Linked DNA regions of Arabidopsis thaliana. The protein of the gene in region 1 binds, or shares a complex with, the protein of each later gene. Each region holds a gene or a part of one and is shown in the gene's direction. Other genes may lie near its edges. The genes, in order: COP13, COP8 and FUS5.

What was found.
Region 2: COP13 (region 1) and COP8 share a complex: the UniProt entries of both Arabidopsis thaliana proteins name them as parts of the CSN complex.
Region 3: COP13 (region 1) and FUS5 share a complex: the UniProt entries of both Arabidopsis thaliana proteins name them as parts of the CSN complex.

The regions. Positions count from the first base shown.
Region 1 is NC_003076.8:4,594,012-4,603,827, forward strand, and holds COP13 (Proteasome component (PCI) domain protein), read left to right. Parts: upstream 1-3,856; 5' UTR 3,857-3,958; coding exon 3,959-4,155; intron 4,156-4,337; coding exon 4,338-4,453; intron 4,454-4,553; coding exon 4,554-4,800; intron 4,801-4,936; coding exon 4,937-4,994; intron 4,995-5,081; coding exon 5,082-5,171; intron 5,172-5,371; coding exon 5,372-5,437; intron 5,438-5,590; coding exon 5,591-5,680; intron 5,681-5,768; coding exon 5,769-5,927; coding exon of another isoform or gene 5,928-5,975; exon of another isoform or gene 5,976-6,019; coding exon 6,020-6,141; intron 6,142-6,322; coding exon 6,323-6,395; intron 6,396-6,478; coding exon 6,479-6,550; 3' UTR 6,551-6,824; downstream 6,825-9,816. Other genes in the region: AT5G14230 (ankyrin), read left to right, coding at 1-128, 223-1,764; AT5G14240 (Thioredoxin superfamily protein), read right to left, coding at 2,212-2,384, 2,577-2,782, 2,883-3,026, 3,310-3,557; AT5G14260 (Rubisco methyltransferase family protein), read left to right, coding at 7,128-7,493, 7,611-7,686, 7,848-8,053, 8,134-8,220, 8,321-8,413, 8,628-8,782, 8,872-8,956, 9,053-9,139 and 3 more. UniProt on the Arabidopsis thaliana protein: Component of the COP9 signalosome complex (CSN), a complex involved in various cellular and developmental processes such as photomorphogenesis and auxin and jasmonate responses.
Region 2 is NC_003076.8:17,234,765-17,245,318, reverse strand, and holds COP8 (Proteasome component (PCI) domain protein), read left to right. Parts: upstream 1-4,502; 5' UTR 4,503-4,669; coding exon 4,670-4,799; intron 4,800-4,937; coding exon 4,938-5,089; intron 5,090-5,359; coding exon 5,360-5,463; intron 5,464-5,551; coding exon 5,552-5,612; intron 5,613-6,069; coding exon 6,070-6,162; intron 6,163-6,250; coding exon 6,251-6,351; intron 6,352-6,592; coding exon 6,593-6,701; intron 6,702-6,786; coding exon 6,787-6,831; intron 6,832-7,054; coding exon 7,055-7,123; intron 7,124-7,220; coding exon 7,221-7,312; intron 7,313-7,386; coding exon 7,387-7,489; intron 7,490-7,612; coding exon 7,613-7,672; intron 7,673-7,774; coding exon 7,775-7,849; 3' UTR 7,850-8,166; downstream 8,167-10,554. Other genes in the region: UBC18 (ubiquitin-conjugating enzyme 18), read left to right, coding at 43-106, 824-912, 1,018-1,113; TRX3 (thioredoxin 3), read right to left, coding at 1,601-1,747, 1,846-1,968, 2,461-2,547; AT5G42965 (Polynucleotidyl transferase, ribonuclease H-like superfamily protein), read right to left, coding at 8,194-8,583; AT5G42960 (outer envelope pore 24B-like protein), read right to left, coding at 8,841-8,921, 9,306-9,662, 9,932-10,135. UniProt on the Arabidopsis thaliana protein: Component of the COP9 signalosome complex (CSN), a complex involved in various cellular and developmental processes such as photomorphogenesis and auxin and jasmonate responses.
Region 3 is NC_003070.9:382,166-391,628, reverse strand, and holds FUS5 (Proteasome component (PCI) domain protein), read left to right. Parts: upstream 1-1,820; 5' UTR 1,821-2,060; coding exon 2,061-2,219; intron 2,220-2,327; coding exon 2,328-2,403; intron 2,404-2,490; coding exon 2,491-2,579; intron 2,580-2,688; coding exon 2,689-2,778; intron 2,779-2,868; coding exon 2,869-2,913; intron 2,914-3,019; coding exon 3,020-3,090; intron 3,091-3,222; coding exon 3,223-3,361; coding exon of another isoform or gene 3,362-3,406; exon of another isoform or gene 3,407-3,956; coding exon 3,957-4,045; intron 4,046-4,125; coding exon 4,126-4,150; 3' UTR 4,151-4,352; downstream 4,353-9,463. Other genes in the region: SBI1 (Leucine carboxyl methyltransferase), read right to left, coding at 88-171, 366-413, 506-626, 765-867, 1,065-1,146, 1,230-1,277, 1,379-1,592, 1,686-1,753; AT1G02080 (transcription regulator), read right to left, coding at 4,947-5,201, 5,296-5,496, 5,586-5,720, 5,812-5,916, 6,006-6,197, 6,305-6,458, 6,660-6,721, 6,789-6,935 and 9 more. UniProt on the Arabidopsis thaliana protein: Component of the COP9 signalosome complex (CSN), a complex involved in various cellular and developmental processes such as photomorphogenesis and auxin and jasmonate responses.

The DNA.
Region 1 (9,816 bases):
ATGCTAATTCAACCGATAGGCTTCTTCTTCAATCTTCGAAACCTTCTCTTTACACAAATGTAGACTGTACAGCTCTTGTTGCTGCCATTGTCAATAGGCAAGTCTCTGCTGTCCGCGTCCTACTACAGGTAATTTTGGCTCTGCAAAATTGAAAACTTGTTCCCTGCAAGGAGAGAGTATGTATCTAAGACATCAAAGCTTTTCTTTCAATGATATGCACAGGCTGGCGTCAAGACAGATATCATGGTGAGGCTTGGAGCATGGTCATGGGATACTAACACTGGAGAAGAGTTTCGGGTGGGAGCTGGAGTGGCTGAGCCCTATCCTTTAACCTGGTGTGCTGTAGAATACTTTGAAACTAGTGGCGACATTTTGCGTTTGTTGCTCAAACTCCAGTCTCCAAACGCTCTTCACAACGGTCGGACTCTTCTACACCATGCTGTCCTCTGTGGCAACAAGGCAGCCGTCAGTGTCCTCCTTGACTGTGGCGCCGATCCAGAAGCTCCTATCAAAACTTCACGAGGCATTGAACTCAGACCGATTCATATTGCTGCACGTGACGGATCAGTGGAGATCATACAACAACTCGTTGGCTTTGGCTGCGATATAAACTCGAAGAATGATGTAGGGAACACAGCCCTGTTGATCTCAATAAAACACAAACATCCAGAGTGCGTCAAGGTTCTCGCCCTTGATGGTGCTGATTTCGGTTTAGTGAACAAGTTTGGTCATTCTGCTGTTTCGATCGCTGAGTCAAACAAGTGGTCTCTTGGATTAGAGCGAGTAATTCTTGAGCTGATCCGGTTCGGTGTTGTTCCACATTCAAGCAACGCTTCAGTATTCTCGCCTTTGCTATATGGGGCTCAAGCAGGAGATGCTGAGGCGCTTAAAGCGCTTGTAAAAGCTCAAGACATCTACCTAGACTATCAAGATGAGGAAGGCTTTTCGGCTGCAATGCTAGCGGCCATGAATGGCCACGTTGAAGCATTTAGAGTCTTAGTCTACGCAGGCGCAGACGTGAAGCTGTATAACAACTCTGGCGACACGGTAGTCTCTCTGTCTGAACAGAACGGTAACCGTGACGTGATAGAGAAGGTGATGCTCGAGTTTGCTCTCGAGAAGGACAGCAGAAACATGGCAGGCGGGTTTTATGCTTTACACTGTGCTGCACGGCGTGGAGACGTCAAAGCAGTGAAGCTTTTGAGTGGAAAAGGATACAGTCTAGACATCCCGGATGGAGATGGCTACACTCCGCTCATGCTTGCAGCCAGAGAGGGCCATGGACATATGTGTGAATACCTAATCTCCTGTGGCGCAAACTGCAATGCTAAGAACGGAAGAGGGGAAAAGCTGCTGGATCTCGCGACTGGTGATGCGGAGAAGGTGATCCGTAATGAGTTGTCTCGGAGGTTTGTGATAGAAGGAAGCAGTGTGATGAAACACACCAAGGGAGGGAAAGGAAAGAAGCATGGGAAAGGATTGAGAATGTTGGAATCAAGTGGAGTACTAAGTTGGGGAAAGTCACGGAAGAGGACTGTGGTGTGCAAGGAAGTAGAGATCGGGATGAGCCAGCGGTTCAGGAAGAACCGTAAGGGGAAAGGCGATGGAGCGGAGGAGGAAGGGATTTTCCGGGTAGTGACTACGGAAAACAAGGAGGTTCATTTTGTGTGTGAAGGTGGGTTGGTGTGTGCAGAGATGTGGGTGAGGGGAATACGACTTGTGACCAGAGAGACAATTTGTGGAAGAACTCAGACTCAGAATTAGTGTTGTTTATGTATGTATATAAAGAAGTTTTGAGAAAGGGAGCTTCATTTTGAAGGTAGTGTGCTTCTATTGTGTTGGGGATGTTTATAGTTCTTGGGTTTGGTATCTGCAGTATATTTGTGAACTGTGAAGTAGTTCGAGTTGCACATGAATGAAAACTAAAACATCTCAGTTGATTTGAGATTCTCCAAATTTGATTATTACTTTGTCCAAAACAAAGACTATTCTAAACTTACATGGATTCACAGGCTTAGATCCAGCACTAAAATTCGGCATGTGATACCTGGATATCAAAAAACAACATGAAGTTCCTGTCTCTTTCAAAAGAACAAAAGTTACAAAATGTTTAAAAAACATTACATCACACAAGAAGTCAGCACTTTTGTTTACCAGTCACCAACTCAACAAGCAATAACCAACAGAGATAAACAGAGAAGCTTTGAAGTTCTAATCACTATTGTAACCACCATCATCGTTATCCTTATCTTCGTGGTCCTTCACCACTCGTTCTATGAACTGTCTTCGAACTCCAGCCATCACAGCTTCCCTCGAGGAGTCATCGTCTCCTCCTTTGCCATCGTTAAGAACTGGCTCTGATTGACACAGAAGTAAGGCTACACCTGAAAAACCAAATCAGTTGCAAGTATGTTAGACATGTGCCTAAGACCAATCTGCTCAAAGCATGATACAATCGCCAATGTGGTCACATCAGGTCTCAGATCAGACAAAGGCTAGAGATGAGACATGACATAATCATCAAACACAAATAAGCACAGATTACATCAGACAAACAAGGGTTCATTCAAACTTACTCTCTGGGGTGCACCTACGGCCAAAGCTCTTTAAGCCTACATGAGTTCCTTTGATGGCGCCATGGTGGTACACCAGCAAGGTAGGAAGATTGCAATCAGGGTAGTTCGGAATACAATCAGTAGATATTATCTTAACGAACTTTGTTGCTGGGTATCTACTACCCAATTCGTCTAGACAACCCAATAGCAAACTACATTCTGCAACACTATCAGAGAACAACAAGAAATAAACATGAGTTAATAGTGTTTCAAGCATGTAGTAAAGAATGGCTCAACAAGAGTTCACGAATACTTGAAAAAACATACCCATCTTTATAGAGACATACAACAACCCAATCTTCAGCAGAAGCTTGCGTAACCTCCCTCACGAAATCAGAGCCCGAGATGGGAGTCACTGTTCCATATCTTTTAACTTTAGCAGCCTCTCTTAGCTCAGACAACCTCTTCTTCCTATGAAAGCATCAAAACACATTAGTGCCTGTGAATCATGAAGTGTGTTGCACAATTATGTTTAGCCTATTCATCAACATCTCAAATAAGATACTACCCTCAATTGCATTCATATCCAAAACACAAACGAATCGAGAAAAACCAGAGCTTGATAATTGCATTCCCTAGCTACATGGCAACAGATCCGAGAAAATTGAATTCACAATCCACCAAGGCAAGGATTCTCCAGGGAAAGTTAAGATTGTAAATACAAAAATCAGAATGTTCGATTCGATCTACGAACCTGTATTCTTCGAGAAAGCGATCATCGTCGAGATCTTTGTCGTCCTCAAGATCCTCAAGCTCCTCCTCTGTCTTCTTATCAAACCATGCCTGATCCTTAGGAGCTGAAGACTCGTCTTCCGCCGGAGTATACGCCGGAGGTTTGAAAGCCGGAGCCTTCTCCGGTAGATTCCCCAATTTCCGCTGGATATCATCCCATTGAGTTGACGCTCCTTCAATGTCCTTATACACGAAATGATAATCCGCCATCAAAGTATAACCACCTACGAAGCTTCAAAGAGAACCTTTGAATCTGAGAGGAGAAAAAGCAGATTGCTTTGACACTCTGTGATCGCAATCTCGTTCTTTCTCTGGAAAGACGAATGATAAAAGGCCATCCCCGAAATTGGTCTGGCTAAACCGACAATTACCATCTGGTACATTTCGAACCGGGAATATTTGGTTTAAAAGCCGGTTAGATATTGGTTTATTATTCTAGAGTAATGTATTAGACTCTTAACCGTTCGGAGGGTTCGTATATATATTATGAGAGCATGTATTTTTATGGAGAAGATCCAGAGATAATTAAACAAACAGTTTAGCAAAAGATTTTGAGAGGGAGAAAAAGGGCGATCGATTAGGGTTTTTGTGTTTTCGTCTTAGTATCGAAGATGATCGGAGCTGTGAACTCGGTGGAGGCTGTGATAACGTCAATCCAAGGTTTATCGGGGAGTCCAGAGGATTTATCTGCACTTCACGATCTTTTGAGAGGAGCTCAAGACTCGCTCCGAGCCGAACCAGGTGTTAATTTCTCTACTCTTGACCAGCTCGACGCCTCGAAGCACTCTCTCGGTTACCTGTATTTCCTGTGAGTTTTAACCTATTGGTAGATTAGGTTTTTGTTACTAGTTTGTGTATACTTTGAGGCTGATTGATGATTTTGGTTATTGGAACTTGATGTGTGTGATTAGGTCGAAGTTTAACAAGGAGAATTGTCTATGTTATTCGATTTCTGATCTTTGAGTTTTTTGTATGGTTTGATTGTTACAGTGAGGTTCTTACCTGTGGTCCAGTGTCGAAGGAGAAAGCTGCTTATGAGATACCGATAATTGCACGGTTCATCAATTCTTGTGATGCTGGGCAGATTCGTTTGGCGAGCTATAAATGTAATTTACTGACACTTAATGAGAGCTTATCTTGTCTTAATGTGTTTTCTTTTCTTTTTTCTTTGGGGAGATGGATGATGTTATTATATTGATTTTGCAGTTGTATCTCTTTGTAAGATATTGAAAGACCATGTTATAGCACTGGGAGATCCGTTGCGAGGAGTAGGGCCACTGTTAAACGCTGTTCAGAAGCTTCAGGTCTCCTCCAAGCGTTTGACTGCATTGCATCCAGATGTTCTTCAACTCTGTTTGCAGGCGAAATCGTACAAATCTGGTTTCTCCATTCTTAGTGATGATATCGTGGAGATTGACCAGCCAAGAGACTTTTTTCTCTATAGCTATTATGGGTAAGCAATTTTTCCTCATTGCTATCTGTTTTTTTCCTTTGATCAATAGATGTGTAAACACATTAAATCCATCCCTGTTGGGTTTGTTTTATAGTATTTTCTTATTCTGGTCCTTGATTACCTGGACTTTTGATAGGGGAATGATTTGTATTGGACTGAAGAGATTTCAGAAAGCATTAGAGCTTCTTTACAATGTAAGGCATTTTTATTTTTTCTTACGTGCTTTTTATACATTAAGGACTTTCGTTTTAGTTTTAACTCAACCTAAGTACTTGTATCAGGTTGTGACTGCTCCTATGCATCAAGTCAATGCCATAGCTCTTGAGGCGTACAAAAAGTACATATTGGTGTCTCTCATTCACAATGGGCAGGTAAGGCTGTGTTCTTTATATTTTACTTTCTTTGTTTATCTAGTTTTCGGTCATGGGAGCATATTGCACGAGTCTGAATCAACTGTATGTTTTTGAGAAATGTTGGTTTCACAATTACATCCTGTGTCTGATTTTAATTTCAAGCATTGGTTAATCTTATGATGTTTTTCTTATAATCTTGTTTGATTTTACTTGTGCAGTTTACTAACACTCTCCCCAAGTGTGCTTCTACAGCAGCACAGAGGAGCTTCAAGAACTATACCGGAGTAAGTTTGAACCCGATCATTAGTTGTATTTTTCATGTTTGAATGGAGTCTGGTCCCTTTTTCACTTCAGTCCAAAGATTTCAGTTGTTTTGTACTCCATACCAGCTAAATCTATTTTCAGGCTTATGATTTTATCGTTCACCCTTTTCTCAGCCTTACATTGAACTGGGTAATTGTTACAACGACGGGAAGATTGGTGAACTAGAGGCATTGGTTGTGGCCAGGAATGCAGAATTTGAAGAGGTAAATTGCCTCTAAACATTTACCATAGTTTCTGTACCAATATTAAATATTCATCCCCTTCCATAACTTGGGCGAAATGCTCTTTCAGGATAAGAACCTTGGATTAGTTAAGCAAGCAGTGTCATCCCTTTACAAGCGTAACATTCTGAGATTGACACAGAAGTACTTGACCCTGTCGCTTCAAGATATAGCCAACATGGTCCAACTTGGTAATGCTAAGGAGGCGGAAATGCATGTGCTTCAGATGGTATTGTGTCCCACACTTGATTTTTGGAAGCTAGCTTTATTAGTTTAACTGGTATGTTGGACAATATCATTTTTTTCTTTACAAACCTGCAGATCCAGGATGGTCAGATACATGCCCTTATCAACCAGAAAGACGGGATGGTCAGATTCTTGGAGGACCCTGAGCAGTACAAATCTAGTGAGATGATTGAGATCATGGATTCTGTTATACAAAGGTATGTCTACAGAACTAAGTGTTTTGATATGGTTTTTTTTTGGGAAACATTGCTTGAATGTTGAAACTCGTAATAAGGAGTGCATAATTAGCACTTGGAATCAAGTTGATATGGAGATGACTGTTTTGCCAAAGGAAAGTAGTAGCATCAAACAAGTTATGTGTTTTGATAAAAATTTCAGGACTATTGGTCTGTCGAAGAATCTCTTAGCCATGGATGAGAGCTTATCATGTGACCCTTTATACTTGGGAAAGGTAATTTAATACCATATTCCATTAGTCTTCTGTCCTGGAAACCCATGTTTCTCTGACTAAGCCGTTTGACTACTTTTTTTCAGGTAGGAAGGGAAAGACAAAGGTACGACTTTGGAGACGATTTCGATACTGTTCCTCAGAAGTTCTCCATGTAAACAGCGAAAGTCGAGAAGCACCAACAAAACTTGGCTCAAAGACAACCGTAGTGTGAATCTTGAGAATGTTACTTTTGATTTCTTTGTTCATTTTTGTTGGTTTAAAAAGTTTCATATTTTTGTCACAATTGCCAACAAGTAGAGAAGACCATTATGGACCCTCAAATCTTTTATTTCCCTTTTACTTAAAAAATTTTCCCCTTGCGCGTGTATCTCTCGTGCTAACTTACGCGAGCGTTTTATCATTTGCAAGGGTTAGAGAAGTCTCAACGGCGTCGTATCAAACTCGTTTTTAACTGCGTGTCGTTTGGGGAATCTGATAGACTCCTTGTTGTGGTGGGCTAGTTTCAGGCCCATTCTCGCTAAGCGCCACGTAGATTTTTATTTCTTTACTCATTTTTTATGTCGCATCTTCCCCATTTCGTTTTCAACCTGATTTCTCCATTTCCCTCTCTTATCCTCAATGAAAAAAATAATCTGAGAAAACGCAAAAGAAGAACGGAGCAAAATCCTCAGAATCGTCGCCGGAGAATCTTTACGTTTCGACATAATCGGAATTTTGGAATTGATAATTCCGATGGAAGGGGTTATCACATGTTTCCATACGAAATGCGTCTCTCTTCCAATTCGTTCTTTCCCACTTTCTAGGGTTTCTTCACTTCCTCGGTGGAGGAACAATAAATTGATCTCTTCATCGCGATCGGTTCATCTAAGAAGCTTGTGCGTTTCGAGCTCAGATACTTTAGTCGCGAGCGGTTCACCAAAGGAAGACGAGAGGCAGAGCAAAGTATCGAGCAAGAAGGAAGGAGATGACTCCGAGGATTTGAAGTTTTGGATGGATAAGAATGGGTTGCCACCTTGCAAGGTTATTCTCAAGGAGAGACCAGCTCATGATCAGAAGCATAAACCTATACATTATGTTGCTGCTAGTGAGGATCTTCAGGTGGTTGACTTAGCATTTCAACAGTTTTATTTGCTTATACACAGTTCCATAGGGTATTCCAAGTATCAATTTCCGGGTTTTGATGGTAAATTTTTCCTAATTACCTGTCTTTTACAGAAGGGTGATGTGGCGTTTTCAGTTCCTGATTCTCTGGTGGTTACTCTGGAAAGAGTTTTGGGAAACGAGACTATTGGTATGAGACATTCTCTATTATGTTTCCTATTCCATAAAGCTACTTCATCAGTTATGCACTATAATATTTGGATTAGACTTTGTGATTTCTCTTAGATAAGGGTGGGATTACGGGTGTTTTGATTCTTGTCTGAAGCCATATAAACTCTCTTTATCACACAGCTGAACTGTTGACGACGAACAAATTATCCGAACTGGCTTGTCTAGCTTTGTATTTGATGTATGAGAAGAAACAAGGAAAGAAATCAGTATGGTATCCCTATATAAGAGAACTTGATCGTCAAAGAGGAAGAGGTCAGTTAGATGCGGAATCCCCTTTGCTGTGGTCAGAGGCTGAGTTAGATTACCTAACTGGTAGTCCTACCAAGGTATTGCGTTAGTATATGCCGGACGTGTGATGAACTAGTATAGTGGGTTCTTAGTGGTTAACTTCTTTAACATGGTTCAGGCCGAAGTTCTTGAGAGGGCTGAAGGGATCAAAAGAGAATACAATGAGCTTGACACTGTCTGGTTCATGGCTGGATCTTTGTTTCAGGTGTTTGGCTACCTACGATTTCGGCTTCTTCTTGTCATTTTAATATATGGAATGCTAAACATCGGCCTCGGACTTACACCATTTTATTTGTGTTTTGCAGCAATACCCATTTGACATACCAACTGAAGCTTTTTCATTTGAGATTTTCAAACAGGCATTTGTTGCCATTCAGTCATGTGTGGTGCATTTACAAGTAATTTTCATTCTTTTGGGGTTTACTTTTCACAACTTGAATGTCTTTCTGTATTTGAAAGAATAGTTAGAGTAAAATATAATAATATGGTCTTACCTCTATTACTCTATCGCTGAATCTAAAGTTTAGCTTGCAGCTCATCATTTAAGCAAGTAGTCAGGTGGTGCTTGTTGCTTCTTCTAATTTAGATTGTTATGCTTCTTCTTGTACTCAGAATGTCGGTTTGGCTCGTCGGTTTGCTTTGGTTCCTCTTGGTCCTCCCTTGTTGGCCTATTGTTCCAACTGCAAGGCAATGCTTACTGCTGTTGATGGTGCTGTTGAACTCGTGGTAGATAGGCCATATAAGGCCGGGGATCCTATAGTTGTCTGGTGCGTCTGTAAGCCAAATTGCTTCCTACAGCTAGCTTTTTCATTCTGATCTATTTTTCATACTTTTGCATTTCCTCCTTTATTTGAAGGTGTGGGCCACAACCAAATGCGAAATTGCTTCTGAACTATGGATTTGTTGATGAGGATAACCCTTATGATAGAGTAATAGTTGAGGTAATTACAAAACTTTGTTGCGTTACTGTAAACACTAGTGTAGTGTTCATGTAATTCCTCACTGTTTGCATGTTTTATGCGTCATACACATTCAAGGCAGCGTTGAACACTGAGGATCCTCAATACCAGGACAAGAGAATGGTTGCTCAAAGGAACGGAAAATTATCCCAACAAGTATTTCAGGTATGACTTTCCCATGGCAACAAGTCTACTTTGAGATGTTCTGTCTGATTTTGGTTTTGCATCCATCTCAGGTTCGTGTGGGAAAAGAAAGAGAAGCTGTTCAAGACATGCTTCCCTACCTGCGGTTGGGTTACATGTCTGATCCTTCTGAAATGCAGTCAGTAATTTCATCCCAAGGTCCAGTTTGTCCGGTAGGTAGAGGATGAGTGACCTGGCAAAACTTTTTTCTAAGTAATCTTTGATATTTCCTTGATTGCATCAAATGTTCAGTCCCTACATGTGAGGCCTCCAATGTTACTGCTACATAGAAAGTTGTTGACACACTTGTAAAGGTTTAACTCTCAAGCTCTTTTGTAGATGAGCCCTTGTATGGAAAGAGCAGTACTAGATCAGCTTGCTAATTACTTCATGAGACGGTTATCTGGCTACCCTACTACTCCGAAAGAAGATGATGCATTGGTATGTCTTTAGACTTTGTGATCGCTACAGATCAAACACATTTTTTTGTTTGGTTTTCCTGCATGACATGACATTGATAGAATTCCCAATCAACAGTTGGCAGATCCTAGTTTGAGTCCTAGGAAGCGAGTTGCAACCCGGCTTGTCCAACTGGAGAAGAAAATACTAGTTGCATGCCTTACGACAACAGTTGATCTTTTAAATCAGTTGCCCGATAC
Region 2 (10,554 bases), about 13 Mb from region 1:
TTGTGCTGTGTTCTGATTTTCATGTGTTTGGTTTTTGATCAGGTGATTTTTGTTCCACCAGCACCGTTACATCCTCATATTTACAGCAATGGACATATTTGTTTAGGTAATTTTACTCATTGTTTCTACACTACTTACTCTTTGCATTTGCTCTTACTTTTTGGTTTCTCTGAAATGCTAGCTCAAGTCATGTGTGTGTCAATCAAATTAGTTTATCTGTTTGATACTTACATATATAGGTTGTTCTTGTTCACGGAATGTAATGTAGCGAAAAGAGAAGCAATGTTAGTAACAATACCCTTAAGAGTCCTAATATATTATATCAACATTGTTACCAGTCTTAACCTTTTTCTCAGTCTGTCTCATTCTTAAAGAGTTCCTAATACTAGCGTCGCATGACATGAAATTAGGTGTGAATGTGTTATCAACGCCATAAAGAAAACCAATACCGTCCCTTTTGGACTCTATGGTGAATTCTTTAGCAAAATCAGAATCTGATCCATGATTATAACAGCCTCTCAATTTCTAGTTATATTGAAACTCCCTTTGGAATGTTGATCAAATAACTTGAAACTCCCATTTGAGTTAAAATCAAATAACACATTTTAGTTTTGCTGTTTTCACTAAACAATAAGAACATGAAAGTTTTATGTAAATTTCTTAAATCTGTTCTCAATGCATCTAAATCCGGTCTAATGAAATCGTGGTGGAACTGAACCATTTGTTACAATACATAATCACGATTATACCCGGCCTCATTTTAGGAGAAAGTCCATTAGGATTATGCGCTTAATATAACACACTCTCTAATTCCTTTTTGTAGATATTCTGTATGACTCATGGTCTCCAGCAATGACAGTGAGTTCAGTCTGCATCAGCATCCTCTCAATGCTATCAAGTTCCCCCGAAAAGGTTTCTACATTTGATCTCTCACACTTTGTATTGTTGTCACAAATTCAAACTTTTTGACCCTGCCACACAACTCTTACTATGTCTTATTGTCGATGACAATATCAGCAACGCCCGACTGATAACGATCGATATGTGAAGAACTGCAAGAACGGGAGGTCTCCTAAAGAGACAAGGTGGTGGTTCCATGACGACAAGGTTTAATGATGACGACCGTAAGATGTCTCTCCTTTCAGTTACAAAAGAGGTTTATATAATTTCCCAAGACTGATAATACTAATTGAAATTCCTCATGGCCTCCCACTTTTTTTTCTGTAACGGATCATTATGTATAAATGACATCTGAAATGTTTCAGTGTCTGAATTAACACCTTGTGCTTTTGTCCTTTCTGAAGTGAAAAACCATGGAGAGTTTAGGCAAAACGAAATTGTATTTGGCAATGTAATTGGATTGATAACTAGTTGGTGTAATGTAATTGAAAATTGAAAAACTAACATAACAATAGAATCCCCAAAGAGTAAACATAACCATGAACGAACAATTAGCATAGCTGCGAGTAATCAAGTTTGCAACAACATTTATTCACCACCACACATAAGAGCACATTTAAGGTGAAAAGACTCGGGCGAACAAAGGATTTATTAAAACACCAAACATATTTTAGCAAAATAGGTAAGAGAGAAAAGCAAATCAAGCAGCAGCAACAACTGTCTTGTGCTTCTCGAGATTGGCAATGATTTCTTCTTTAGCAGCACCAACCACAGTCTCCTTGATCTCTCCTTCTTTCATGAAGATAAACGTTGGCATTGCCTGAACTTTAAACTCCTCAGCAACAGTCTGCACAACAACATAACAAGCAAGATAAAGGCTCAGAGAAGTCAAAAATCCCTAAGTTTGGATATTGGGATAGTGTAAGATTGATGAAGGAAACTCACGTTCAATTCGTCAACATCGACCTTGAAGAAGACTACGTCGAGGTGCTTCTTGGCTAAGTCAGCAAAGACGGGTGCAATGAAACGGCAAGGTGGGCACCATGTTGCAGTGAAGTCTATCACAATCTGTGTCATTTCCACACAACCATATTTAAGAAAACAAGCTACACCGATCGATAATTCAAACAATAGATACGACATCGGTTCATCATTAAGATAACAAATGTATGCATTTCATGTGCTTCACAGAACATGGATAATAATACAAACATAGATACAAAATGGGTTCACTAAAGACAATTTTCATGTGATCTCTAGCAGATGATTCATAAAATTGAATATGCATAGTTGAGAGATTCACATAACATGTTTTTATCCAATGATGCTTCTATCAAGTTCTTAGGGTTTCAATTTCTGAGATTCTGGGTTCCTAAACAATCAATTAAACTATTAGGGTTCATAAATTTGACATTAAGGAGCTCAAAAATTCGATTGGGGACAATTCAAACCTAATTCTGAATCCGTCATATTCTAATCAAAAGGACCAAGATCAGAAACGATAAAGCAGCGAAATCAATCAGAAAGAAACATTTAAAACCTTAGATCGAGAGTTTTTACCAGTTTCTTGGATTCGTTGGCGGCTTTGAGCTTCTCGGTCCAATCTTCAACGGTGTGGCAAGCGATAACTTCTCCTTCTGCGGCCATTTTCTCTTCTCTGTGTTTGATTTTTGATTTGATGAGTTTTCGAGTGATTATTCTTCTTCGTCTCTGTGTCGGTTCTTATAGAGAGAAGGAGGCGGAGAGAATCTTACATCTTTTTATTATATTTTAATGCAAATGGAATAATAATAATAATTAATAAAACATGTTGTCAAATAGGAAAAGAATTAATACTCAAATTAAAAAAATGGACCAAACCACGCGGAGGAATTCGATGCCGGATTTGTTGATCTAACGGTTGAGATTGAAGAATTGCAAATCGGATTCAGCTTCTGAGGACGCGTGTAATTTATGCTCATTGAAAATAGAAGAAATTGATATATTTAGTCAAAAAGGTTATGAGATTTGAGTATTTCTTTTTATTTTTTATTTTTTTTTTGTTGGTCACATTGAATATTATTGCCTTTGGTAGTTCAGTCCTATATTTTATTTGAGAAACAAAATCAGAAAAGAATCTATAATTTGAAGCAACTTTCATATTGTAATTTGGTATTCCTATATTTTATTTGAGAAACAATATCAGAAAAGATCAAAAGAATCTATAATTTGTAGCAACTTTAAATATTGTAATAGGAAATCTTTTAAAATTTATCAATATGAAATTTGTTAATTTATAATAGGTCTTGAGATTTGATCATGTGACTTCTAAACACAAGTTATTGGGCTTTTGTTTAAGTAAAGCCCATGTGTCAAAGAAATGGATTGTTTTCCTAGTTAGTGAAATAATCTTATACACACAATTTAAAAACAATAGAGAAAATTAATGTTGAAATGAGCAGATTAATGTGGGGTTGTACATATCAAGGTGGAACTATCACAAGGAAGAACAAAGAGATATCTTGAGGTAACTACCCAAAGAAAGAGCAATGAAACCCTACCATGACAATTTGTCCAGACTATAACGAGTTAAATCATTATCATGAATTCCATACCATGGCAATTTGTTTTCTTTCAATGGGATGTCTACCATTCCAAAAAAGTTTTGCCATCAACAACCGCATCTGTTCTTTTGAGTAAATGTAATTTTGGTAAACTATGTAGTCTATAATCATTAGTTACAATATGGATCTGTAAAGTTGATTCAAAAACAATTGTGATGTTCTCGAACGGGATCACCATAAACTTCATCAAAAAAAATCCTTTAAGCGAGAGAAACTCGTGATTTTTCGAGACAACGATTGTGTCTATGAGTCTATCGTCCAACCTCATCCAATACCAATATGTTCAGTTATATCTAAGTTGTAAAGCACATAAAATCGATTTGTCAGTCAGCTCACATGTTTAAACCAAAGTCGTATTCCAATGCGAGACTTGGTTTCCTAGTCTGAGATAGGTAAATTTCTTTATATACTACCCTCTATGTAACGAGAGAGTGGTTCTTTTTTCACTTTTAATTCATGAGAGCACTTTCAAAACATTTTGCATGTCATTGCTCTCAAGATTTGGGCTCACAACTTTTCCGATGACTTCTCGGTCATATCTTGACCATTCGATCAATTTTTCGATTGCTTCTAGTCGATTCTTTCTCAACAAATAATTATTTACGTTTCCATCTTAAATTGCTCCCTAAGCTCTAAAACACATAACATATCATCTTTTTCCGATCTGGTATCATAATATTAAACGTGGTATTGTCATCATAAAATACCTCATCATCGTGTTTTCCAAATCACGACGTGTTTTTTTATTTGTGTAAAAGATTTACTGTAGTAATTTAGGCTCACATATAAAAATATTTCTAAACAATATATTATTTGTTGATTTTTTTTTTTAATCTACAATCAATTTGGTAAACTTACCATCACAAATTAATTATAAAATTTATGAACTAACAAAAAAAAATATAGTATTTATGCTTAATATATATATATATATATTTTAATTTATTTTGGGTACTAATCTCATATGAGTTGTGACCATATTAAGTAAATTTTGTAAAGCGCCTCTCCGATCACCGGCACAGAATCTAGTCCCCGTTTATTTTTTTAATATAAAAAGAGAGCAAACTCCAAAAAAAAAAAAAAAAAAAGCGAGAGAGAAATCAAAACCTTGTAAGGTTTCTTAGGGTTTCAATCGAAGCGGGAGAGAAAATCTCAGAAGAGAAGCCATGGATGAAGCTTTGACGAACGCTTCTGCAATCGGTGACCAACGCCAGAAAATCGAACAGTACAAACTCATCCTCTCCTCTGTTCTCTCTTCCAACGATCTTCTCCAAGCTCAGAGATTCATCGATCACAGTAATTTCGCATCTCCCTTCTTTCTCATGGTTTCAACTTCATAAGAGATTCGACAACTGCTTTTTGTTCTTATGGAATTCGGTTTATATCAGAATTTCTGGTTTGATTTTGATTTTTGCTTCCTCACAATTTTTCCAGTTCTTTCCGATGATGTCCCGTTGGTGGTTTCGAGGCAGCTTTTGCAGTCTTTCGCACAAGAGCTTGGGAGATTAGAACCGGAGACGCAGAAGGAGATTGCTCAATTTACTCTTACCCAGATTCAGCCTAGAGTTGTTTCCTTTGAGGAACAGGTTTGTTTTCTCTTCGTGATACCTTACTGTTTAGCAGCAATCGTGTACTTTTTAAACCCTAATTAGTTTACCTACTTAACATAAGTTGAGAGGTATGTAGAGTCGCTTTGCTATTGTACCGCTTTGGTATGTGAAATCTACACTGAAAGCTAATTTGAGATATTTGTTTACTAAGGATGCTGTATTTTGGGATAACTGAGACAATGTACGTTGTGTTGTTTTTCAATCTCTTTATTCTAAGAGATGAAACTGTTTGTGGTGTATTTGCAGGCACTTGTTATCAGAGAAAAACTTGCGGGTTTGTATGAATCAGAGCAGGAATGGTCAAAAGCAGCACAGATGTTGAGTGGAATTGATCTGGATTCTGGAATGAGGTGTGTGGCATTGAGCAGAATTTTGTTTTAGTTTCCTCTCTATGTTCTTTTGTGTTGCTTATTTTGGATTTGCGGAATTCTTTATTAGGGCCGTTGACGACAACTTCAAGCTTTCAAAGTGTATCCAAATTGCTCGTTTGTATCTCGAGGTTTGTCTTTCCCTTTCATGTACATATGCACAATAGATTCTGTGTCCTTTTCATTAATTTTTAAGCATGTAAATCGGTTATCTCTGTTTATGAGATGAATTTACGCATCGCAGTAATGATTTATAGCTAGTTTGTCTTGTTTCCTTCTGTGGGTGCGTGTCAATCAGTTACAGAAGTTAGATCTTAAAAGCACAAAAGAAACCCGTTGTTGAATGTTGATTCAATCTTCAAATATTTGGACATTTTTCTAGAGAGATTTTATTTAAAGTTAAGTCTCTTGACCAAATCTAAGTGTCATGAAATTAGGAATATCGACTGTTAAGAGCATTATTCTGCTTCACTACATCACTTTTTTATTTATTGCTTGTGAGAGTAAATTGAGGCTAGCAGAGTTGTATAAATACATTTAGTTAAATTTTTATTGTTCTCTAATACTTTTGTGTTTTGAAATTTTCAGGATGATGATGCTGTAAATGCAGAGGCTTTTATAAATAAAGCTTCTTTCTTAGTGAGCAATAGTCAGAATGAAGTTTTGAATTTGCAGTACAAGGTTGGACCACCTTAAAGTAAACTAAGAATTTATGTGCTGGGTGATTAAGGAGCATTCGTTTTCAAGTTTTAATATATTTCTGTTTCAGGTCTGCTATGCTAGAATTTTGGACATGAAAAGAAAGTTTTTAGAGGCTGCACTTCGGTATTACGGCATATCTCAGATTGAGCAACGCCAAATAGGGGATGAGTAAGTGAACTGACTTATCTTTCTGCTACATCTTTTCTTCAAATTCTCCTCTGTTGGTTTCTTGTTCGGATGGAATAATGATTAATTAATCTTCTATCCATCTTTGGAGACTCTGTATTTAAAGCTAGTTTCCTACTTTTCCCCTCTCTGTGATTGAATAGTGTTCCTCTTTTCTCTCTCCAATACCTTTGTGATATCTCATATTCTGAAACGGTTATAATGTGTTTTCTAATCTTTTCAGAGAGATTGATGAGAATGCTTTAGAGCAGGCCCTATCAGCTGCTGTCACATGTACCATATTAGCTGGAGCTGGTCCTCAGCGTTCTCGTGTTCTTGCAACTTTATACAAAGTAATTCCCTTTTGGATTACAAATAGAATACTTTCCTGCTTGCTTATTTATTGTTTTTTATTTCTCAATATCTTTCTATTAACAGGATGAGCGTTGCTCCAAGCTGAAGATTTATCCTATCCTGCAGAAGGTTCTATCTCTTATTACCTACAACTGTTTCCTCTAGTAGACAAACATACATTTTCATGCTATTGGACATATAGTATTGTTTGAACTCACATATTACTCTTGTTTAAGCCGGCATGATGTTTATTAGATTTGATTCATTATCAAATCAAACAAGTTCACCATAGCTTATAGAGGCTTGGTTAGAAATGCATGGTAACTTTTTGTTTTTTAATGCAACTTTATAGGTGTATCTGGAAAGGATTTTAAGGAGACCAGAGATTGATGCCTTTTCAGAAGAACTAAGGCCACATCAGGTATGGACTGTGAATTAAGATTTAGATGTAGTTTTTGGATAACATCTGAGTTGGTAAGTAGGTTCATAACAAGTTATTACACTGTTGATTTCAACAGAAAGCATCTTTGCCTGACAAATCCACTGTTCTTGACCGTGCTATGATTGAGCATAACCTTCTTAGTGCAAGCAAACTCTACACAAACATAAGGTATGAGATGTCGAATTAGTATCTTCTTTGTGTGTCTAGACTTGTTTGATTTTCTCAACTATTTTATATCCTAGGTTTGATGAATTGGGAACTCTGTTGGCGATTGATCCAAGAAAAGCGGAGAAGATAGCAGCTAATATGATTGGGCAAGACCGAATGAGGGGTTCCATAGATCAGGTAAGCAATAAAAAATACTTTGTTGGTTGAGCTATGTAAGAGCCCTGAAGAGAATTCTCGTTAGTGTTGATTTTCTAGAAGGAGGTTCCTAGACGTGTTTTAATATTTTATGTTACTGTTCAGGAGGAGGCTGTGATTCATTTTGAGGATGACGTGGAGGAACTACAACAATGGGATCAACAGGTTTTCTATCTCTCCCTCCCACTCTTTGTCTCTTTAGAGCAACTATATATGATTGTTTGTTTTATTGGCGTGGAATATGACTGAAAAGTGGAATCTGTGCAGATATCGGGATTATGCCAAGCTCTCAATGACATTCTGGATGGGATGGCCAAGAAAGGCATGTCTGTTCCTGTCTGATTGACTCCCAAGCCGTGAGATCGCCTCATGATGATTAATTTGTATTAGCCGAGCAACGGATCGAGTCTCATGCCAAAGTTTTTGCCAAATTGCTGTGTTTTGGGGACAGTCATTTTCACCTTATTTACTTTCTTGCAAATTCATGTCTATGTCTTTAGGTTAATTGATTCAGAGAGGAAAAGATTAGGCATTGAATGAGGATTTTTAAGAAAGTTGAAAAGAGGTTCAGGGTACATTTTTACCTCAGAACAAATTATTTTATGCATAGATGAACCTTTCTTGTGCAAGAGAATGATGAAACTAGTAGTTTTTTTTTTTTTTTTGGCTCAACAACAACTTCTCATTTACCAAACGGTGATTACACAGAGTCTGAATACACACAATCTTTTATCCAAGCCGGCACCTTTAGAATACATTTTAGGATCATAATTCAATAAAGAAAGAGATTCCCTAGCAATTCTATCTGCCACACTGTTTCCTTCACGCTTTATATGCATCACCTTCACCTCCTCAAATTGTTGGAATATATGTCTAATGTCCTGAATTCTTGGGGCCAAATTTGGATAATCAGTATCATCCCCTAACAGAGACACTAGATGTTGGGAATCTGATTCAAAGATGACTTTCTTATAGTTAAATCTTGACATTGAAAGAGCTGCCCATCTCATAGCTTCAAGTTCCACTTCCAACACTGTCTGAACTCTCGGGATTGCACGAAGTCCCAGCCACAACATTTTCCCCTCATGATTTCTCAGATGAAACTAGTAGTTACATATAACATTTTCCCATTCGTTGTTTAATTTTTATTCTTGAACGATCAAAACTTATGCGAATTTAAGAAATGATCAATGATAACAGACGAAACTGCTAGTAATAATAATGAGAAACTGTTGCAACAAAATTTCGGAAGATTCGCAAGAACCGACTAGTAAAATGTGTTGCAACACCAAACAATTGAAGTGAAACTTAGCTAAGTAGTGTAAAGAAGAGACTACATTTCAAGGTTCCATGTAGTTTCTGCGGTCAATTTCGGCGTTTTCAGTTCATCCGCAAGATTCACAGACGCACATACCTGTTGAAACAAGAAAATAAAGCCCATCAACGACCAAAACACATGGAATTTCTAAAGTTCGTAAAGCGGTAAAGCTTCTTCACGACATAGTTGTTGCTCAAAAGAAAGCAAATCCAATGTCTAAATATGATTGCCAATACACAGAACAATCTAAAATTACTGATTATGATGCAGCAAAGAATACATGAACTATCCTAACCCAAAGATGATGCCTTATTGTCAAGAAGCTATGCATCCCATGTAGGTAGCAGTTTCATCTATCAAATCAATTCTATTTCTACCAGGTTTAAGTCACTGATATCACCGTTTAACTTTAAAGAACTAAGATTGTCATCAAAATATAGTAAACGATATGAACTTTCGACTGAAAATGTTCTTTCTTACCTTGAATCCACTTGCTTTGTTGTTCCTTGACCATTCCATACCCAACAACTTACTAGACGTCTGATAAGTTGCCCTCACATTATCACCACTATAAAATCTTCGAGAAACCGCAAAATCCCATGTATTTTTCGCCAAGTCATAACACGGCTCGAACGTAGCTAACCCTCCATGAGCATAGGTATACTTAATCTTACAGTTGTTTGTCCCAACCATGTGGTTAGCAGAGAGTTTGTTTGCAGAATCAATCACAAGGCTCCCATCGACAATTGTTCTGTTATCAGCTCTGCTATGAATGTAAGTCAAATTCAAAGGCTTCTCTGCAATTCTTACTGTGTTCATGAACTGAAACCTAACATCCTGTAAACCAAAATCACCAACATAGTTAAGCACATAGATTCTTAAATGTCTGCCTGCAAATCTCTTTAAACTTGTGGAGAATCTAAAAACCCTAAACTCCAGAATCCTAAATCCTACTTCAATTCAAGCATTAGCTGCGTAATTTCTAGGTTTGTTTGCTTTGACTTGAATCCTAGGTTTAATCGTAAGCAATCAATCTCATTTCCATGGGAATTGAAAAATTTCTAAGATTTGTTTGCTTTGACTCAAATCAAAAGAGTTGTTCTGACCTTTTTAGGGACGTTGTACTCGACGATGAAGGAACCAGGCTTCTCTACAGCGAGAGCGAGACCGGTCAAAGTAGGACCGGCGACGAGAGTAGCATCGGTCATGGTGGCGCGTAGCTTAATATCGCCGGCGTTGAAAGCAAGTGAACCGATTCCACTGGTTTTGTCAGTATCGTACTTGCCTTTGATAGAAGCCTTCATCGCCATTTTCGCACAGTAGAGATAGAGAGAGAGAGAGAGAGAGAGAGAGAGAGAGAGAGAGAGAGAGAGAGAGAAAGCAGAGGTTCGGTGAGAGCGGCGAAAAATGACGATAAAAGCTGACGGTGTTTATTATTCTCCGTTGCGTGTTCTTCGTTCGCATGTGCGAGTTGGCACGTGTGTGAAGTGGCACTTGTGCGAGTTGGCACGTGTGCGAAGTAGCACTTTTGCGAATTGGAGTCCTGATGGAATCATCAAAAGTTCGATCTTTTCATCAAAGATTTGATCTTAATTCTATTGATCGGTATATATTTGCTATAAGTTTGAGCTCATGTGCAAGTTCAAATAATATGTTATTTGATAGTTATATTCTCAACAGATTTATAGCAAAACTATATTTAATATTTTAAATTTATTTATTTGCTCTT
Region 3 (9,463 bases), on another chromosome or scaffold:
GGGTAAAGAAATGAGAGTCCTTATATCAGAAATTATACATGAAAGTTAGCCCTGCTTTAATCATAATATTCTAACTGCAAAACGAACCTGCCATCCATTATCAAGAAACAATCTCTCCTTTGCAAGTAAAGTTGGTGATGCATCAATGCTTAAGAGTGCACATCCCCGACTCTGAAGAACAGAAACACCGTTAAGCTTTCAGAACAAGTTTAAATGAAGGTAATTGATCAGTACAACATGAACCCATGTGGCAATACTAGAATATTTTAGTGTCATACTAGTATCCATATTTTGACAAAAATCTCAAAAAAGCTTTACTAATGAAGATGTCGCTGTAACTAGAGTAGTAGAGTACACGTTCTTACCTCCAAATTTCTAATCATTTGATGCCCAAATGCATCATCTGGATGGATCTGCAAACAGAAACCCAACGGGTTAGACACATAAGCAATAAGATTCGTATCTGCAATATTATGCAGACAAGGAAAATCACAGTTGAGCTAACCTGCTCATATAAGAAAAATACTGCAGTTGAAAACGTTTTTGACGACCAATTGACGATGGCACGGCTTGAATCGGGGTCCAGATAAATCAAAACACATTCTGCAATAATAAACGTCGGCAGACTGATAATGATATTAGGGATCAAGTAGGTCTATCACCAGTAAGTATCTGTTACCATATATCTTAAACCCGGGTAGAAGAAGAGGGTTGAAGGTTCAAGATAACAGTGTGTAAAATAAATAAAAATTATTCATGGATACCTTAGATCCATATCTGCAAAGGATATAACATCTCTTAATTTTGGTATATCGCGCAGGTCAACTGGAAGTAACTTGTAATGATCACTGAGAACTTGTCCTTCGTCTGTAGAGATAAACAGCCCAACGAGTTAAGAGTAAGCAACTGAAACTAGACGCTAACGGTACAAAGTAAAAGGGGGTGGTTGAGTTAGTAGCTAGTAGAAGCGGAATGAAGAAAAATATGAGTGCACAAGCTGAAATGCATCATAATGAAAAGGATCATTCTACATAATAATACATGGGGGGAAAAAAGGCTCTTACCAATAGAAATAGATGCATTGGCTCCTAGTTTGTCCCTGAGTTGGCTGGAGTTTTGTATAACAGCAGCCTTCTTGCTAGTCACCTAACGTAAGAAGCAAATCCATTTAGGCATTAGACTCAAAACACATGATGGATACTTTTGTCAGCACGCTCATCCAGTAGTACCTCCTTAAAATCAAGTTCCACATAGAGATTGGGCCCATTCCCCTCATCCTACAAAATGAGAAGAGAAGAAGCGAGAGATCCCTGGAATAAGCCGAAGAATGGTGAATTTGGTAAAAGCTAACAAAAAGGAGAAGAAAAAGAAGACGCACCAGCAACTGAAAATAGGTAGTATCAAAGCCAGCTCCGAGAGACAGTATCTGTTTCTTAGAACTTGTCCCGCTTAGAAGAAACTGAGACATAAGCTTTCGGAAGGCAGCCCAACGGGAAAAGTAACCTCGATTAATGATGGGAGATCTTCGAACAGGTCTTTTCACAAAGAGATGAACATAGTCGTCTTTCATATATCCCTTTTTGACACAAGACCTTTAAAAATATTATCTAGGCTCAAAGATCCACAACAACAACAAAAAAAAAAGAAGAGCCCTAATTAAAGAAGAGAGAAAGAGGTAGGCGTACAATTTACTGGCGGATGCATCGTCGTTAGTAGCCTGAACCGCCGCTCTGTTGCTGCGAGATTCCGCCATCGTCGTCGCTCTCTCAGCCAAAATGAAGGAAGAAGAATATTCAATAGTCTCTCTCTTCCCCGGGATTGTTTGGGCTCACCAGACGCGGTTTCTAATATTTCTCTTAGTAGGCCTTGGCCCAGAAACTACGAAATTTGAGCCCAATTATTAAACAAGATTCTAGAAGAATTCGGTCGGTCACATAAAAAAAACAGTAATATAAAAACGGAAGAAGGAAGGAGCAGAGAGAAGAAGTTTGGGATTTTATTCGTTATTAGTGTGGTAAGAAAGAAAACCCTAAACCACCGGAAATCGATTTGTTTGGAAGATGGATATCGAGCAGAAGCAAGCCGAGATCATTGATCAGCTCGTGAAGCGAGCTTCTACTTGCAAATCCGAGGCTCTGGGCCCGCTCATCATCGAAGCCACATCGCATCCTTCTCTCTTCGCCTTCTCCGAGATTTTGGCTCTACCCAATGTTGCCCAGGTACTACTACTTTATGCTTTTCACGATCTAGGGTTTTACATGCTTTTGTTCTTCGCTGATCATAACAACTTGATAGATACTAGTAGCTGATTAATCGTAATTGTGCAGCTTGAAGGAACCACAGATTCTGTGTACCTGGATCTACTACGCTTGTTTGCCCATGGCACCTGGGGAGACTACAAATGTATGACCCCTTTGTCATATGCTATTTCAATTCGTTTTCCCTTTTGTCATATTCTCTCCTCTTGACTTGCTTTCATCGAAACACTAGGCAATGCCACCCGTCTTCCGCACTTGTCCCCTGACCAAATTCTTAAGCTTAAGCAGCTCACTGTCCTCACCCTTGCTGAGTCTAACAAGGTATATTTGTCTTAGGTTCATGATTTGCTCCTGCTATCTACTCTGTTCCATTATCTTTTTCCCCTGCTGTTTGCCTAACTGAATGTCTCTCTCACTCTGCTTGTTATAGGTATTGCCCTATGATACACTAATGGTCGAGTTAGATGTTTCCAATGTTCGCGAACTCGAGGACTTTCTTATCAATGAATGCATGTATGCGGTGAGTACTCTTTAGCAGTCTTCTAATCTCTATTTGACAACTAACTGTGACAACGCATGGTGCTCATTTTTTTTCTTTTACACTTTGCAGGGTATAGTTAGGGGAAAACTGGATCAGTTAAAAAGATGTTTTGAGGTGTGTTTTGGTTTGGGCCTCCTTTTCCTATTTTAACCATTGTGCTTTGTTTCTAAACGTACGAGCCCCCCCTTCTAAACATCATATATCTCTTGCAACCATGCAGGTTCCGTTTGCAGCTGGTAGGGATCTAAGGCCAGGTCAACTAGGGAATATGTTACACACATTGTCCAACTGGTAGTTTTCTTCTTCCCTTAGATCCAGGATTTTTTGCCTTCTATATCTAATTATAAGAACTTGTACGTGATGTTAGAATACATGGCTAATGACGTCCTACTCTTTTATGTGTTGGCCCAAATTGATGTCTAGGTTGAACACGTCAGAGAATCTGCTCATTTCAATTCAAGACAAGATCAAATGGGCGGACAATATGAGTGAGATGGACAAAAAACATCGTAAGGAAGCAGAAGAAGGGGTGGAAGAAGTGAAGAAGTCTCTGTCCATGAAGGTCAGTCGCGCTTGGAGTCCTATTGGCTTCACTTTTCCCTACTAAGTATATTATGTAACTAATATTGGTTACATTCTTTCTTGGTTACTGTCTTGTGACCATGAGTTAGAGTCCAGTCAGCTATTCTGTCTTATATTTCTTCAGAGAATTGTAGTGGGTTTCTTCTTATTAATAGCTTAGGTCTATGTAAGCGGGGATGGGAGAGACTTGATAAAAAAATCTTTCTAGGTCTTTGAGCTTTCCAAGTCCAGTCCTATCATAGATTAAAAAGTTATGTTTCTTAATAACAAACGAATCGATCAGCCAACTGTGGCGGGCTTTTTTAACCGTTCTTTCGTGGAACAAGAAATCTTACATGTTGGATGTAAACATATATTATGAAGTTTTCTTTAATTAAAAACAAACAAGGAACGCAATCACAACGGCTGTTAGTGAAGTGTTAAAGTCATTAGAGGACATGAATTGTTTGGAATGGTAGTACTTGGTTATTGTCTGATTGTTAAATGAAATGAAACAAGGTTCGTTTGGTTTTTTGTGTCTGAAATATGATTGGGAAGGGTGGTGGTCGATATAGTCTTACTTACGTTGTGGGCAGGGGGATGTTGACATCAGAGGGAATAAGGAGATGTTTGGGGAACCAAGTGGAGTGATGGACTACGAAGAAGATGGGATCCGACCAAAGAGGTAACGAATATTAGATATGAGTGAGATGATAAGTACAAAGGAGATGATATAACATACACACATTCAACTTTGGAACGCAGGAGGAGGCATCCTGTAACAAGGTAGAGGAGCAAGAGAGAGCAAATGGTCAGTGCGGATTGACATTCCATTTACCGAGAGTAGATTATGATTATTTGGTTGCGGATTTTCAACTTGTATAAGATCCTCTGTTCTCTCTCACAATAACCCCTTGTTATGTTTGATTTCCCTCATTAGCAAATTTGGTGTCTCTCTGCCCATTAAAAGAAAAATGGCTTTGAATTTAGTATTCAGTAATCAATAGTCTTGACACTTGAGCAAAGCTAGGCGCTTGGATCATATGGAATGATACAGATATTCTCAGTGTTCCGTCTTTTGACCACTAGCCAGCGCCTTGGCCCCTCACATGTTGAAACCTGCTTAGTCTGCGACAGCTGCCTCTTAGGCGGGCATGAAAGTGTTGTTTATTACGTCATCGACTAGATCCCACCATCGGAATTCTGACCGAAACATGTTCCTGAGAACGTTATACAAAGTACTAGTAGTCTAGTACTATATGATGACAATCCCTGCCGATTTCTCACACTCCCTCAGCATAATCATAATCTCTTTCAGTGTTTATGGTCATGTTTTATGACCATGAAAACACAATCCCCGCCGATTTCTCAAACATGTTTTCACCTAACTAATTCTCAAACAGACCCTTAAGAGCAAGGATAAAGGAATAATAGTGTTTTTTTTTTTTGTAATTAGAAAACATGTTTGTGAATCTTGAAGTTAAATAAATAAACTAAGACTCCTAAAATCTCTCCTACTGTATGTATAATTGTTACAACATAATATCAAAATACGCATACATATATACAAGTTGAAAGCTAAAGAGCTAGTGAGAATTGTCTGAGACCCAACCTCCCGAAACCATTCCCTCGTCGACAGGCTTCAGGCCACCACAGGATCTGGCTACCGATTCAAACAGCTTCTCAATCTCAGGCGCACATCTGATGAAGGCTTGTTTCCAGAAGCTATATCTTGGGTTCTTTATTAGCTCAATGAATGTGATTAGAAGTCCCCATGGATGTGGCCTGTTCACAATTAGCCGTTCCAACAGCACTCTAGTTATTTGCTCCTGTATGATCTCCTGTTTCATTCATCCCAAGAAAAAGAAAAAAAAAATCAGATTTCCATGCTCACTAATTTTTCCACACAACTCTTGACAAGCAAAGCAAACTCACCTGATCAGATTCGAAGAATAGATAGAGCATGATGAAAGAAAAGTAATGAGTGTGGTTGTTGGGGTATCGAAGCTGATTGGCGATTGCATTAAGGAACAGATACCGCCCTTCCGTATCAAGTTCCATACTTAAATACTTGAACATCTGCAAGGCCACAACATTTTGAGCCTGTGTCTCACCGGCCTGAAGCTGCTGAATAGCCTGTTATCGCAATGTCGGTTATTTGCATATATATATATATAATAAACTAGAAATCAAAAGAAAAGGCTGTATAGAAATTAGACCCATACCTGCATTCCAGTATATAGCACAAGCGAGTTGATCAATGGTACACTGTAACGGGTTCCAGCTGAACTAGCCTCGCTGGACGATAGAAGTAACTTTGTCTTCAACTCACTTAGGAAAGTTGAATTTTGCTGCCTCGACTGCAGAAAAATTATATGAGTATCTCTTGATATAATCTCAAGAATACCAAAGTGAATATAAGTAAATTGAAGAATCAGGTGTTCCCATTACCGTAAGATACTCATCCACGTCATTCTTCATTTGCTTTGCCTTTAGCGCAGCATCAACCTCAGAAAGGATACAGGGAGCTTCTACTATCTCAGGTAACAAATCAATCTGCAATGAACACGATAATTCAGCCTACAAGGAATATATTTTCTTTAAAATATGTTGAACATGCTGGAATCTCCACTATCATCTCGTACCTTTAAATTTGGGGTAGAAGGATCAGGAAGCCTCATGTTCCGTGGAAAAGAACTGAGGATAATATTCCGCATTTGTATGCAACTTGAAGGAATCACATCACAGAAAGTAAAATGATAATCACATAGGAACTCTGGGAAATCATGAAGCAGAACCAGTAATACTCTCAATGTCCCTTTGTATAGGAAATGAACCTACGCAATTAATAAACACACCAAAAAAGAGACCACTTTAAGTTACCATCGACTATATCCTTTAGTGTCCAATGCAAAACAATTACAGAAGAGAAAAAGGCACAAACCGGTCCTCCGAGTTCAGCATTTCTTAAAAATGGCTCAAGAAACTGAAGCAAGTCCACCAGCAGGCGCTGAACATATGGCCAACCCTTCTGGCCATTTACTGTAAGTAGTTTGGGCATGAAGCTTCTGTGGCTGACAAGTTCTAGCCATGCAAAACTGGAAAAATTTATAAAAACCTCAGTGGAGAAGAAAAAAAATGTATAAAACACGGATCACAGATCAAAGAAAAGAAGATACATATGTCAACAACATGAAATGTTTGACAACATAGGTATTTGACTGCCCTCAAATTTCCTGAGAGATTCAAATTTTTAAGTTTTAATAGAAGCACGGTGAGAAATAGGTTTGTGTCCTAACCTGAAAGCAGGAATCTTAAGAGGCTGCAATGCGTGGAAGGCGTTGGCAAAAGCTGTGAGAACCTGCAACAAAAGATTAATTAAAGTGATAACAATTAATAGCAGCTACTTCAAGGACAACAAAATGCACCTGAAAGTTTGCACCATCCGTCCCAGGATCCAGGGAACACAAGTCCAGTAGCCAGTTGATGAACAATCGGAAATATGGTTTAGAATTGAGTGATGTCTTTTTATCTTCTGCGTCCTTTTGAATAAATCTCACTGTGTCAGCCATGATCTGAAACAGGTAATCAATACCACTCACCTTTTCCATCCATTATAGTAGAAGTTAGATTTATTTCCAATAAGAGTATGTGTCCCCTTACCTCTGAAAGAAGAAATAACCTACTGCTAGACTCCTGCTCAGGGAAATACTGAACAGATTGTCATAAGAAACAAACAAAACAAAAAAAGCTTAGCCGGCAATGTATTTTGGGTATAATTATCCACGAAGAATGCAAAAAAAAAAATGAGCACTCTACCTTCAATATTGAAAAAACAAGCTTTGCATACATATCAATGATAAGGAATGATGGACTCTGAGGTTGCTGAGGAGATTGCACAGCACCGGAATTAATATCTTCAGAAGATATACAATGAGCAACAGAAAGTTCCTACAGAAAGGAAAGCCAAAATCAATAATGATGCCTCTCAAGATTTGAAAGTGCTGATGCTAAAACATTCTTAAAAGGTAAAATCACCAGAAGAATTCGGAAAAAACTCTCTGTTGTATCATCTCCCTTAAGTAATCCAGTCTGGTGCAAATGCAGGACATATTGTGAACATGCGGTTTCATTTGCACCAGGAAGTTCGCAGATTTGATACCAGTTTTTAAATAGCGTGGACACCTGCCAAACCATACAGAGGAAGACAAAAACAAGATATAAACAAGAAGTACGAGAGATGTATGTTCAAACATAAAACTGAAGAGATAACAAACTACAAACACATGTATCTAAATACATCGAATTAAAGTGAAAATTTAAAATCCATCTACAAGACAAAAATAAGGAAAAAAACATGCATACTGAACGAAAATAGCTTCATAGAAACGTTTGTTTTGAAATCCTTTTTGTAGCTTGCAAATTCATTGTGCTGATACAAACATTTTAGCTTTTGATTTACTCTTTTGCAAGTGAAAAATTTAGATATATGCAATTCCCAATCAACTTTTAAAAAAGAAAAGGTAGAGCTCTAAATCAATATAGAAGTTCATAAACGCTAATAACATGCAGACAATTACCCGATTCTGGAAACCCGCAGGATCTGATTCCACATAATCCAAGCTGGTACTCTCTTCTGTGTTAGTGGTGTTGCACGCAACCTAAGAAAAAGCTAACATGTCAAATATACATTTACAGTCTGATTACAGGCAACATTCGGTAATGAAGACATCTGACACCTTCTCATCCTTTTGCCTATCGTTGTTATCATTTCCGGTTGAACTATCAGAGAGGCCAGCTGTGTTAGTAACTGGATTTCGTATGATGTCAATTAGCTGTTGCAATGACTCAGAAGATCCGGATTTTGAGGCAAGCTACAACCAAAACAAGAATACAAATTGCAGCGTCACCAAATATAACAATGCCAAATTTCATAATATTTGAACCTAACCACAATACTTGTCAGTTGGCATTATATGATAAACAGTGTTATGCAGTAGATTTAACCACAAAAAAAAAAAATTGAACCTATCCCTTCCCTAGTTGTATGTTTTCACACCTATTAACTGTTTTTTTATATAATAGAACAAGAATATGCGACTGCAACAACAAACGCAGAAGAATGTTAAAATTGCAACCTTTGCCAGCGCATCAACAAGACTGTGGAGCTCTGAAATGACACTCGACTCCTCAGTGACCAAGGATTGGAGTAGAGAAATAGCAAAGTCAGTTGCGGTCTCTGCGTAACAAACAACTTGTTAAAACAAGTTCACTAGCCAAAACAAAAAAAGAATGTTACCACACAAGGACATCAACAAAGGTTAAGCAATTCAGCATACTGTTTCTCCCTCCATCAAGATGCTTCGCCATGTGGACATTGTACTCCGCTAGGCTAAGCAACTCACGCTGGATAAGACCAATAGTAATATCTTTGTTGAGCTTCCGATCCTCCTCTGAATAAATCACCTGTGTCAAAAGTTTGAAGAAAGATAATTAATTATAACTAAAAATACCAAAGAAACAAATCTAGTATCTATAACCAGTTGAGGATAGGCTCCAACTACAGGAAACAGACTCGACCTAGCACTTATATGATATGTGTTATCCTATGTGTTCTGACAGAAATAGTGACAAATTAATGGAGAAGTAACTGAACAAAGCACATCAGCGAAGTGAAATCTTGAAAAGGTTGTAAACATACCCAACTAGTGAGCTCTTTAACAACACGCTTGCAAACATCACGGATAGCAACAAGTATTGCTAGGTTAGCACTGACGTGAAGGTTACTTGATGCATTCTCGTAAAGAGCCTTGAAAGCTTTTTGAGCGACAGCAAAAGCGGCTTCATCTCTGCTTATACATCTGAGGATGATTTCAGGAACTTCAGAAATTACGGCCTGAAAAATCAATGAGATCTGCATTAGTTATTGAATTCATACTGGATAGAAGAAAATAGGCATCAATTGGAAAACACAGAAACCATTTCCAAAAGTTAGAGAAGGTTTTCAAAATTAACTTCTAATTTCATTTATTCTAGGTGCACGTAAATGGATAACAATTCTGCACTATAACCACCTAGGCACTAGGAAATCAAATACCTGGAT